2 linked regions of the Cricetulus griseus genome follow. The protein of the gene in region 1 interacts with the protein of each later gene in a biochemical or structural test. Links are inferred from orthologs where the notes say so. Each region holds a gene or a part of one and is shown on either strand. Other genes may lie near its edges.

Region 1 (6,129 bases):
ACCACAAAATGGACTGAGACAGTATAGAAGTATAGTGCAGGAAGGGTTTTCTCAAAGTCAGTTACGCTGTACATTCACAATGTTTTCTCTGACCCTATTCTATTTTTTCTACATGTCTTTTCTTCCTTTCTTGTAACTCAAGCTGTACCTGAATGTTTGAACTTACCAGCAATCCTCTTGCTTCTGCCTCCCAGTGCTTGGATTACAAGTATATGCCACTTATATGCATCCTAATAGCATACTTTTTATATTCGAAAACTATTTTAAATGAAACTTCTTATTGTTTCTATGAATAAAAACTAATAGGTCTAGGAATAAAAAAATTAACATAAAAACCCTATGTGGAAAGCTGGCTCATCAGGTAAAGGTGTTTGCCACCAAGCCTGACAACTGCAGCTTGATTTCCAGGACCCCTACGGTGGAAAGGGAGAACCAACCCCTTCATTTATTTTTCTAGGTCTGGAATCTAAAATCAGGACTTCAGTAAGTCTCAGTTTCTTCACCCATAGAATGAGAGTAATGCACCTTTCACAGACCATGAGATTCATTTCCCAGGCACAATGGTAAATGAATGCTGCAACGCCAGCTCTTGGAAGGTAGAGACAAGAGAATCAACCAATCATAAGTTCCTTAGCAACATAGCCAGATTGAAGTCAGCCTGGGCTACAACCTACCTTGTATCAAAAAGCCAAAAGCCACAGTGAGACCCTGTCTCAAAAAAGGAAAGGCTGAGCATAGTTTTGATTTAAATTTATTTTAATTTAACACAACTTTAATTCCAGCACTTGGGAGGCAGAGGCAGGTGGATCTTTGTGAGCTCTAGACCAGTCAGGACTACATAATAAAAATTTGTCTTAAATAAGGAAAGAAATAACCAAATATAAGAATAAATGAGAACCTGGTGTAAGTTTTTTGCAAGTGGGAAAGTAGTCATTAAATGAAAGACAGACCTGGTAGTGCAGTCCTGTAATTCCAGCTAACTCAAGAGACAGAGGCAGGAGGAGCACAAGTTCAAGGCTTTCCTGAGCTACAGGAGTTTGAGGCCACCCAGGGAAACTTACTGAGAGTCTGTCTCAAAAGAAAAAGAAAAAAACTTACAAAAAGAAGGGCTACAGCCAGGCATTGGTGGTGCACGTCTTTAATCCCAGCACTCGGGAGGCAGAGGCAGGCGGATCTCTGTGAGTTTGAGGCCAGCCTGGTCTCCGGAGCAAGTGCTAGGATGGGCTCCAAAGCTACACAGGAGTGGGGGAGAGGGGAAGGGCTACAGCTCCAACTCAGTGGTAAGGTGTAAAGTTCAATGACAAAAAAAAAAAAAAAAAAAAAAAAAAAAAAAAAAAAAAAAAAAAACAGTGAAAGAGAACGACAAGCCAATCCAAGCCTTTGGCCTCAGGCTCCTTGGTTTCCTAGGGACCAATAACACAGAACAAAACTAGCTTCACTGACCAGAAAAAGGACAGGAAACTTAAGTTCAAACCCCTTCTTCACCACATACAGCAGTGTGACCTTTAAAAACTCCCTTATTTCTCAAACACTGACCAAGTACTCACAACATACCAGGCATGAGGCTAGTAGCCAAGGAAGCCACATAAAATAGGATCACTGCCCTTGAATGATTTACAGTCTAGCAGGAAGATGAGTAAACAAGTCAAGTTGGGGCTAGAGAGATAGATCAACAGTTAAAGAGTATTTAGTGCTCTTCCACAGGACCAAAGTTTAGTTCCCAGAATGACAGGCCAGAGGCTTGGGGCTGGAGAGACAGCTCAGTGATTAAGAGCACTGGCTGCTCTTCCAGAGGGCCCAAATTCAATTCCCAGCACCCACATGGCAACTCACAACTGTCTGTAACTTCAGCTCCAGAGGATCCAACAGCCTCACATAGACATGAATGCAGACAAAATAAAATCTTTTTAAAAAGAAAGAAAGCGCAGAGGCTCACAACCACCTGTATCTCTGGCTTCAAGGGACCCAATGCTTTCTTCTGGCCTCTGTGGACACCCACACCCTACATATGACATACATACACAGACACGAACACACACACACATAATAAATAAAAATAAATATTTTTAAAGTCAACCCTCTTAGCTGTTTGTTCTCTGTGAAGTGGGGATTGATTTCTCATGACAGCTACAAAAATTAACTTTTGAATGTTTGTCATATACCCCAAAGTCTTCCACTCCTAATGTATTAATGCAAAGTTTTTGGTTTTTTTTTTTGCCCTAGTGACCTGTGATCCTGGCTCCTGTCAACGTCCCATTTGAACTCTAACTCCTTCACTGCATTCACAAAACCCATTTCACTTCTGCAAAGTTTAGTAAATGTGAAGGAAAAGAGGAGGGCTTGGTTGTTTGTTTAGGTCTTAACAGTGTAGCCCAGGCCGGCTTGGCCTGGAACTTGCAGCCATCTTCACGCCTCGGCCTGGAAGATGAACAATCTTAAGATGGGTATCTTAACCTCAAAAAAAAAAAAAAAAAAATGTGATCTAGGTCACAGTTCTAAGGAATACCACAGAAACTTCTCTGTCACCCCACCTAGTCACAGCTGGTCAAGATAAGAAGTCTCATGGAAAAGGAAACTGTGTAATTTAAGCCTAAGATGCATCGTCTAAAGCAGTATCGGTAGACTTTCTACTGTCCAAGAGTTAAGCAGTCAATGCGTTGCTGAGGTAACGCTGGCCCAAGCCGCTGACAACTGTGTAGGTTGAAAGTCATGTTATGATCCCAGTAAAGCACCCACACCGTCTTTATTTTATTTTTTTTTTCGAAGATCAGCCGATCCGGGAGCATCTCAAAGAAAGATGATCTGAAGGGCTAGGCTCCTAACAAGAGGGAACCCTAAGCAAACAGGGCAAAGTGGGTGTGACCACAGTCAGCCGATCAAGACTGAGGGATCCCTCCTGAAGTTTAAAAACTGAACCGGACCGAAATTAAAGTCTCAGGTCGCCATCATCTTCAAAGAGGATGGAAGGAAGAGACTCTCGGAATGGGGTCCAGGCCGCATCGTCCAGATTTTTTCTCCACGTCCCTACAAACCAGACGCCCACTCCCAGGCAGCCCCTTCTGGGGAGCTTGCTAGTCTCCCGGGCCGAGGTCCCGTCCCCTCCACAGACGCGGCTCCTGCGCACCGCAGGCGCCCAGGCAGGGGTCCCCTGCCGGAAGCGCCAGCAGCTGGCGACTCCCACCGGGCCCCGCGCCCACCCCGCTCGGGCGCAAGCCGGGACACCCCTCCTCGGAGGCCGGAACCGCGCGCCAGGCCCCTCCCACAGGAAGCCGCCGCCCCCGCGCCCGCCCCGCGCCGCCCCCAGCCCTCACGCCCCCGCCGCCCCCGGCCACCCCGCGCCGCCCGCTCGCCACCGAGCCCCCAGCGCCCGCGCCACCTACCTGCAGCGGCCACACCAGCGGCGCCTAACTCCGCTCCACTTCCGCCTTCCAGCGCCCGCACTCGGGCCGGGTCACGTGAGTGCGCGCGGTCACCTGACCCGGAAGAGGCTGGCCTGGGCGCGCAGGTGCGGACCACCTAGACCCAGCATGCGAGCTTTTGATTTACTGAGGTCCCGAGTGGCGAGGACCTCTTGCTCCTGAGTTGTGTTCGGGCAGACATACAAAATAGGGACTCGCCGGGCACCAGGGGCTTTATTTTATTCCTTTGGAAGTAGGTAGAGTTTCCCTCCATGAAACAGGTGGGAGAAGACCATCCGGTCAGTTAATTCAGCGAGTCTTTCGGGGATTACTGGAGAAAAAAACAGTATGCTAGCCGAGTGATAGTGGCGCTCCCCTTTAATACCAGCATTTGGGAGGCAGAGGCAGGCGGTTCTTCGTAAATTCAAGGCTAGCCTTGTCTACAGGGTGAATTCTAAAACAGCCATGACTACTACACAGAGAAACTCTGTCTCAAAAAACAAACAAACAAAAACTTGCTAACAAAAAAACAGTATGTTCCCCCCTTAAATTTGAATATCGGATAAACCTTGTAACTATAACCACGTCCGCAAATTTGGAAAGGGATGTATTGACACCACAAAGGTATACTGGTCAAACTTAAGCATCTTATGTATTGCTAATATTGGCAGCTTGTGCCAACTATATGCTAGGCCTTGTTTTCAGTTCTAGAAGTATAAATGCCCTGGCCTTTATAGAACATCTGTTCTTGTTCCAAGAAGCAAAAGTAGAAGGGGGTGGGGGTGAGGTCACACTTCAGAACTTCACCCAAGTCCGTAAGTGTCCCATGGGGAACCAACTCCCATTTCCTCCCTGTATGGAGTAAACTGAAAGTTTTGAATTAGCAAACGGCCTCTATGTAACCCTGACTGACCTGGAACTCAACCCTATCCTCAGCCTTCTTAATTCCTGGCATTGGGGGCACTGAGGGTTGGACCCAGAGCCCTGCTCATACTAGTCAGGGATCACTCCTACTGACCTATGTTGCCAGTCCTGTTGTTACCTTTCTAGTTTTTATTTGGAGCAGGGTCTTGCTTAAAGAGTTCTAATTGGCCTTGAACTTTTGATTCTCTGAGTAGTTAGGATTACCTTTTTGTGCCATGGGGGGGGGGGGGTCAGGAGACAGGTGGAGTCAGGGTTTCATGCACCCTAGGCTGGGACCCACCTCCCAGTTGATCAGATAACAGATATGTGCCACACCATCTGGCTTTCTGTTGGGTTTGGTTTTGGTTAACTGAAATTTTTAATTTTTCATTAGTATTTTATTATATGGATCTTTTTCCTGTGCATACACATCTGTGTACCACCTGGATGTTTGGTGCCTTTGTTGTGGGTTATCTACCAGAGAAAACTGCTCAGACATTCATCTAAGCCAATAGAAAGTCTTTATTAGCCAGCCGGCAACTACACTGGGTGTTAAGGATCAAGCAAGGTTAGTAAATTTAAAGACTTTCCCAGAACTATGGATCTTGATTAGATTAGGTCTTTATTTTCGCCTTGTTAGGTGGTGCTGTCTACATGCTGAGTCTTATGGTCTACTGGTAATTCCATTGTGGGGTCAGTTGTGCTAAGGTCTAGGACCTAGTCTTGAGGCCCTGTTACATTCCCCACTGGTCTTATCGAATGAGTCAAATTGTGGGCTTACCCTACCCTAAAGAGGTGTAGTTGGGTCAGGCAGTGGTAGTGCATGCCTTTGATCCAATACTCAGGAGGCAGAGGCAATCAGATCTTTGTGAGTTCAAGGCCAGCCTGGTCTACAGAGCAAGTTCCAGGACAGCGAAAGCTACACAGAAAAACTGTCTCAAAAATTAAAAAAAAAAAAAAAAAAAAAGGTGTAGTTGGTCCTAAGGACCATTAATTTTACTGAACTGATAGATAATTGGCCATATAGTTTAAGATGCAGGGCCCTGCCATTTGTCCAATCAGAATGAGAATTAAAGGTCCAGCCAATGCTGATAGACCCAGGAGGTCTAAGAAAACAGACACTGGTACTAATTATTTGTTTTATGTCTTTGTCTCTTTTTTCTTTTGGAAGTTTTCCTCAACCACAACAATTTTTTTCCTAATTACTCATGATCAATTAGCATAAAAACAATAGGTTTCTCCCAAGCCCATGTATACTTTCCTTTATAGGAGCAGTAAGTCTAAGCCTCTCCAATTTTGTAGGACCATTTCTGCAGGGAATGCAACTGTTGCTTTAATTTGGAAATGGAAACTTTGAACACCTTTAGGTCCTGATGAACCTGTCTACTTAGTTTGGAAAGCATCAGAAGAGGCACATTTAGTCACCATTAGTACACGCCCACCAAGTAGTCTCAGGGCCCAGTAGTAATATTGCTATTGTACAGATGAGTTAACTGGCTGAAAAGCAGGCATCAGAATGAGGGGAAGTACCTAGATGAAAGGTTTTGGACATTAGACAAATTCCAGTCCCTTATAAATCCTTTAATTTGAGCTACCCCCAGTCACAATGAGTTTGTCAGTCAATGGGCTGTCAGTCTAACCAGTAACCCTGGCTGGTTTCTGCCTGGAAATGATTAACTCTATCCCTAGGGTCCCTTCCTGTGGCATAGAGTCCTATTCTCCAGGTTTTCTGTTTTCCAAAGGCTAGCCTTTCTCTTAAGGAATTCTTTAGGAAGCCTCGGTTTCACAACTCTTAATTTTTGCAATGGAAACTCCCTTGCTCCTGGCA
Region 2 (6,277 bases), on another chromosome or scaffold:
ATCATATAAGAGACCCTCTATATTAAGTAAATTAACAAATAAATAAATCTGGCCAGGCATGGTGGCAGAAGTCTGTATTGCTAGCTCGGGAGGTAGAGGACCAGGAATTTGAGGCCAGCCTTGGCTACATAACTGTTACATAGGAGTCTGAATGGGTTCTAAGATGCTTTTTCTCAAAAACAAACAAACAAAAATCTGTAGCCATTTTTATTTATTTATTTATTTATTTATTTATTTATTTATTTATTTTGGTTTTTCAAGACAGGGTTTCTCTGTGGCTTTGGAGGCTGTCCTGGAACTAGCTCTTGTAGACCAGGCTGGTCTCGAACTCACAGAGATCCTCCTGCCTCTGCCTCCCAAGTGCTGGGATCAAAGGCGTGCGCCACCACTGCCCAGCGCTATTTGACTTTTATGAGAGTGTACCCAGAAAAAAAAAAAAAAACTAAAGAATGCAAAAGACTCCTTGCACTGAGTCACCCCGAAATTCCCAAAACTGTGTCTCAAAGGGATAGTGCTGCAATTCCTGCCTGAAGACTATCAGTATCTTATTTTTATGCAAATAAAAGTGTATTTCTTCAACATTCTGTATATTACCGTATAGAGTTGGATTTTACTTTTTTTAAAAGAAGACTTACTTTATGGGACCAGAAAGGTGGCTCAGCAGCCAAGATAACTTGTCCTTGCAAAAGACACGAATTTGGTTGCCAGCACCCATACAAACAGTTTATAACCATCTGGATCTGCAGCTCCAAGAGATGTGACACCCTCCTGTGTCCTCCTGCGGCTCCTGTACACACTGTAGTACACATGCATGCATGCAGACAACCCGTTACATACATAAAGTGGAAATAAACATTTTTAAAATGTGTTTTCATTAGTTTTTAATGATGTGTATGTGTGCACATCTATGATATATATATATATATGATGCATGAGAAGGCCAGAGACGTCAGCGCCTGACCTCAGTGCTGGAAAGCAATCTCGGGACCCCTCCTTCTCAGCTGCTGAGCCATCTATTCACACACACGCACACGCACACACACGCACACGCACACACGCTACACCACCACCACTTTTTTTTTTTAAAGACAGCGTCTTACAATAGCTGAGGCTGGACTGGAAATCCTTATGCAACCCAAGCTGACCTCCAATTTGCCGCAGCTTCCTGCCTCAGCCTCCCAAATGCTGGGATGTGAACCGCTATGCTGTCTGCTTGGGACCAAACCCTGATCCCCCAGATCTAGGGATAGTGAGGACGTCCCGCAGTCCTTCCCGGCCCGCGAAAGAGCCACCTCAGATGGAGTTCAGATTCTCTGCAACGTAGTGGACAGACACCCACGCCTGGGTCTTCAAAGTCCTGCTGTTTAGACTAGCGAGCTAGACTGAGAGGGCGCAGCGCCATCGTGAGGCCAGAGGGTGCAGGGGGCGGCGCAGGGAGCCGCGCAGGGGGCGGTGCAGGGGGGCGGTTCAGGGGACCGGTGCAGGGGTGGCCGGTGCAGGGGGCGGGGAGGACGGTGGGGAGGACGGTGGGGAGCCGATCACTCTCCCCAGAAGTTCACACTGTCCGACTCGCGGGGTCACGGTTGGAGGTGATTAAAGCGTATTTTGCTGGGACTGTTCCAGTCCACCTTAGACAGGGCTACGTCTCGCACAGCCAAGAGTATGGGCGAGGACGAAGGCGGCTCATTAAGTGGTTTAAAGGTGGCACACACCAAGTCACCACGTTTAAGTTACATCTCTCCAATTGAGTTTGCTTAACACGAGGAGGCCGGTTTGGGAGACGCGTACAGATGTTTAAGACTTTGTAAATAACCTAGCAAGCCTGTCCTAGAGTTAAAAAAAAGACTACAAGTCCCAGAATTCAACCACCACTCAACGCAAGGAGAGGTCGCGGTTGAGGGAACCATCGCCTGCTGGGAATTGTAGTCCGCGGCTTGTTTGTGATGCAGGTGCGACTTGGGGGAGGGGGAGCGGGAGTAAACTCTCGCCACGTGACATCGGAGGTCAGGTGGTTGGTCAGCCTGCGCGCAGGAGCGATGATTGGCTGGCTGTAATACGAACGACGCCACTGGAGGCGGGCCGAAGACCGGCGCAGGCGCAGAGCGCTGCGAGTCTCGGGACCCCAGTGGGAGGAGAGACTATGGCGCTCAACAAGAATCACTCGGAGGGTGGCGGAGTGATCGTCAACAACACTGAGAGGTGAGGACGCGGCGGAAGGATCCTGGAGGCTGGGGGCGGAGGCGGGCGCCGTGTGGTGGGCGGTGGGGTGCGGTGAGGAGGGGCGGTGGTGGAGCGCTGGGGGAGGGGGCGGTAACGGCCGGGGGCGGGGCTGGAGGGCGTGGGTGGGGCGTGGGTGAGGGGGGGGAGCCGGGGGAGCCGGGGGAGCCGGGGGAGCCGGGGAGCCGGGGAGCCGGGGGGAGCCGGGGGGGGGGGGGAGCCGGGGCGGCGGGGACGTGGGTCCTGAGTGAGGCCAGCGAGCCCCCTCCCAAATGGAGTCCGAGAATAATTGCTCTGTGTTGGGCGTTTACTACGTGGTTGCTACGCGGCAGGAGGCGCGGCGTGGGTCGGTTCTGCCTCAGATAACAGCTAATCTTGTGCGGCAGAAACTATCCCACACGGTTTACCGGTAGGGCAAGCGAGGCTCACACAGGGCGAATAACCTGGCTTAGGGCTGTGAGTGACCGATGGGACCTGAGGCAAGAGTCTTGACCGCAAAGCCAACAGTTGCTTAACCACTCCTGTCCAGTCTCCTCGTATATTCCAGAACTTCTCAGGTTCCAAGAGAAAGGCTGAGGCCCTAGAGGTGGAACTGAGGGGCTGTCATCTGCTCACCCAGTGCCTGGCGCCCGCGGGCCTTGTAAAGGCGTCTCCCTTGTGTCGCTCGCTCGCTCGCTCGCTCGCTCGCTCCCCTGGTTCTCTTGGATTCCTGAGGGCTTAAGTCGCTCGCCAGAGTAGAAGTCTCTCAACTGCAAGATTCTTTTTTCTCTACCCCTCACTGCACCATCCACTCTTCCTCTCCAACTTTTGGGCCCTCTCTGTCGCTTCTCTTTTCCTTTCTTGCTCGGACATTGGAAATCAGACTCTCTTGACCTGAGCTATGCAAGCTTGAATGTCTTCTTGAAGGCCAAGGGAGGCGTGGTCGAAGTCAAAGCCATCTTGGGACCTGTCACTTGAGAATGTTTGATGAGTCAGAAGAGAAGGTGTGGGGTGACACAGACTGGAAATGCTGATTTTGTCTCCATAGTTCTTGGCAGGTTCTGGCCAGCCCAGCAAGTTTTTTTTTTTTTTTTTTTTTTTTTTTTTTTGGTTTTTCGAGACAGGGTTTCTCTGTGGCTTTGGAGCCTGTCCTGAAACTAGCTCTTGTAGAACCAGGCTGGTCTCGAACTCACAGAGATCCGCCTGCCTCTGCCTCCCCAGTGCTGGGATTAAAGGTGTGCGCCACCAACGCCCAGCTGATCACTTCTTTATTATTATTATTTTTTAATTCTTAGTTTTTCGAGACAGTTTCTCTGTGTAGCTTTGGAGCCTGTCCTGGAACTCACTTTGTAGACCAGGCTGGTCTGGAACTCACATAGTTCCTCCTGCCTGCCTCTGCCTCCCCAGTGCTGGGATTAAAGGCGTGCACCACCACCGTCCAGCTGGTGATCACTTCTTTAACCTGAGCTGGCCTCTTTTATTGTGTTCTAAGTCCTCTATTACCTTTGCACCAAGAAAGGGTATTTGGGATGAGGAGGAGACATAAGAATTTGGACCCTTATGTCATGTAATCTGAGAAACCTTATTCTCTGGTGTACTTAGTCCAGTACCTTGGCTGGTCAAGTACTTTGATGCCATTCAGTGGTGTCCCCACCACTACCCCTCTCTCTGGTTTTCAGTCTATGGTTTCCATCCAGATTGGCCTTGAACCTGAGGCAATCCGACCTCTGGCTTTTGAGAGCAGGGAAATCAGAGATGTACCACCACAACCAGAGCTGTTTAGCTTCATCGTTTGAGAGTGGTTTTCCTTCACTTACTCTGGCTTTTATGTAGAAGATTTCTGCCCTCCTGGGCTCAGCACCTGGCTCATTGCTACCAAATAGGGTCCTGGGAAGAACTTCAGCCTCACTTCTGAAACATGTGTCAGTAATAATTGAAATGTAAGTGCAGTGCTCAAACTTATGATATTTAAACTAGTGAACAAGCTGGGCATTGGTGACCACACCTTTAATCCCAGCACTCAGGAGGCAGAGGCAGGCGGATCTCTGTGAGTTTGAGGCCAGCCTGGTCTCCAGAGCGAGTGCCAGGATAGGCTCCAAAGCTACACAGAGAAACCCTGTCTCGAAAAACCAAAAAAAAAAAAAAAAAAACAAAAACAACCCCCCCCAAAACTAGTGAACATTAACCTTTAATTCACAAACCACTGTTAGAGATAAAGGCTGTGAACTCTTCCCAGAAAACCGAGCACACAAGTACACACACACACACACACACACACACACACGCACGCACGCACGCACGCACACATACAGACACACACATGCATATACACACATCTCAAGGGCTTTATCCACAGACATTTTCTACAGCTCCAGCTAAAGAAGCTTGGATTAAAAAAAAAAAAACACACACACATAGAAACAACAACAACAACAACAAAAATATGATCTCCCAGAGGGCCCATTTAGTTCCCCGTATCAATGTCAGGCGGCTCACAACCACCTGTGTCTCCAGCTTCAGAGGATCCAATGAAACTATAGAATCATGTCTTTGACTCTATACTTTTATTATTTACTTATTTATTAGCTGTGTGTGTGTTGCTGGGGAAGAACTCAGAACTGTGACCATGCTAGGCAAATACTACTGTGCTGCATCCCCAAGTCCCATTAGACTCATGTTTATATATTAGGGTTTTGTTTGTTTTTGTTGTTTGTTTATTGTTGTTGTTTTGGTATTTTTGAGACAGGCTTTCTCAGTGTAGCTCTGGCTGTCCTGGAACTCACTCTGTAGACCAGGCTATCTTCACAGAGATCCACCTGCCTCTGCCTCTGGGGTGCTGGGATTAAAGTCGAGCACCACCACTGTCCGGCTATATTAGTTTTGTTTTGTTTTGTTTTATTTTTTAGGAAAAAAAAAAACAGTAAAATTGTTGTGGCTGTGACTCAGGTGGTAGTATGCTTTCCTGGGATGCACAAAACCCTGTGTCCATCCCTAGCACCTCATGAAAGCAGCCTGGCGGTAGAAGTCTGTAATCCCAGCACTTGGGAGATGCAAGCAGGAATAACTTAGCAAGCTCAAGACCAGCCTCAGAAAGCCCAAACTAGAATGCCTGTCACAGGGCTTAAGAGCAGACTGAAGAGAAAACTCAGGTGACCTAGTCCAGTTGGAGAGATGAAGACAGTTCTCTTTTTTTTTTTTTTTTTTTTTTTTGGTTTTCGAGACAGGGTTTCTCTGTGGCTTTGGAGGCTGTCCTGGCACTTGCTCTGGAGACCAGGCTGTCCTGGAACTCACAGAGATCCTCCTGCCTCTGCCTCCCAAGTGCTGGGATTAAAGGCGTGCACCACCAACGCCCGTCGAAGACAGTTCTCTTACCCTGGTCACTTGGGGGCTGTAGAAATGGAGCTTGGGGACTATCTCTACCTGACAGTCCTGATGGTTTACTCATAGTCCTATTGCAACAGTGTTGTGAGTGACTTAGTCCATGTCTCCAATGACTCATGACTGATGACATATCATCTGGTCTTTTTGTGTTTTTTGTTTTTCATCACAGCATCCTAATGTCCTATGATCATGTGGAACTTACCTTCAATGACATGAAGAATGTGCCAGAGGCTTTCAAAGGGACCAAGAAAGGCACTGTCTACCTTACCCCATACCGTGTAAGTTGTACAGCCAGTTAGAGGCTCCGTGCTGCCAGATGGTCATGTGTATTTCTACTTCACTTTGTGACACCTGTGGTGTCTGAGCCCTGGGGATGCAAGTGTCTCTCCTTCACTTTGTGACACCCATGTCGTTTGAGCCCTCGAGATGCAAGTGTCTCTCCTTCACCTTGTGACACCAGTGGTGTTTGAGCCCTGGGGATGCAAGTGTCTCTCCTTCACTTTGTGACACCCATGGCGTCTGAGCCCTGAGGGATGCAAGTGTCTCTCCTTCACTTTGTGACACCCATGTCGTTTGAGCCCTCGAGATGCAAGTGTCTCTCCTTCACCTTGTGACACCAGTGGTGTCTGAGCCCTGGGGATGCAAGTGTCTCTCCTTCACTTTGTGACACCCATGGCGTCTGAGCCCTGAGGGATGCAAG

The links. The genes of interacting proteins can lie anywhere in the genome.
Region 2: the proteins of Wwp2 (region 1) and Wbp2 form a complex in vitro, tested with the Homo sapiens proteins (4 studies listed by BioGRID, with this or other methods). The link is inferred for Cricetulus griseus from reciprocal best matches to the Homo sapiens genes WWP2 and WBP2.

Annotation. Positions count from the first base shown.
Region 1 is NC_048596.1:183,767,366-183,773,494, reverse strand, and holds the start of Wwp2 (NEDD4-like E3 ubiquitin-protein ligase WWP2), read right to left. Parts: upstream 3,477-6,129; 5' UTR 3,381-3,476; intron 1-3,380. UniProt on the Homo sapiens protein: E3 ubiquitin-protein ligase which accepts ubiquitin from an E2 ubiquitin-conjugating enzyme in the form of a thioester and then directly transfers the ubiquitin to targeted substrates.
Region 2 is NC_048600.1:128,668,836-128,675,112, reverse strand, and holds the start of Wbp2 (WW domain-binding protein 2), read left to right. Parts: upstream 1-2,041; 5' UTR 2,042-2,140; coding exon 2,141-2,199; intron 2,200-5,746; coding exon 5,747-5,855; intron 5,856-6,277. UniProt on the Homo sapiens protein: Acts as a transcriptional coactivator of estrogen and progesterone receptors (ESR1 and PGR) upon hormone activation. In presence of estrogen, binds to ESR1-responsive promoters. Synergizes with YAP1 to enhance PGR activity.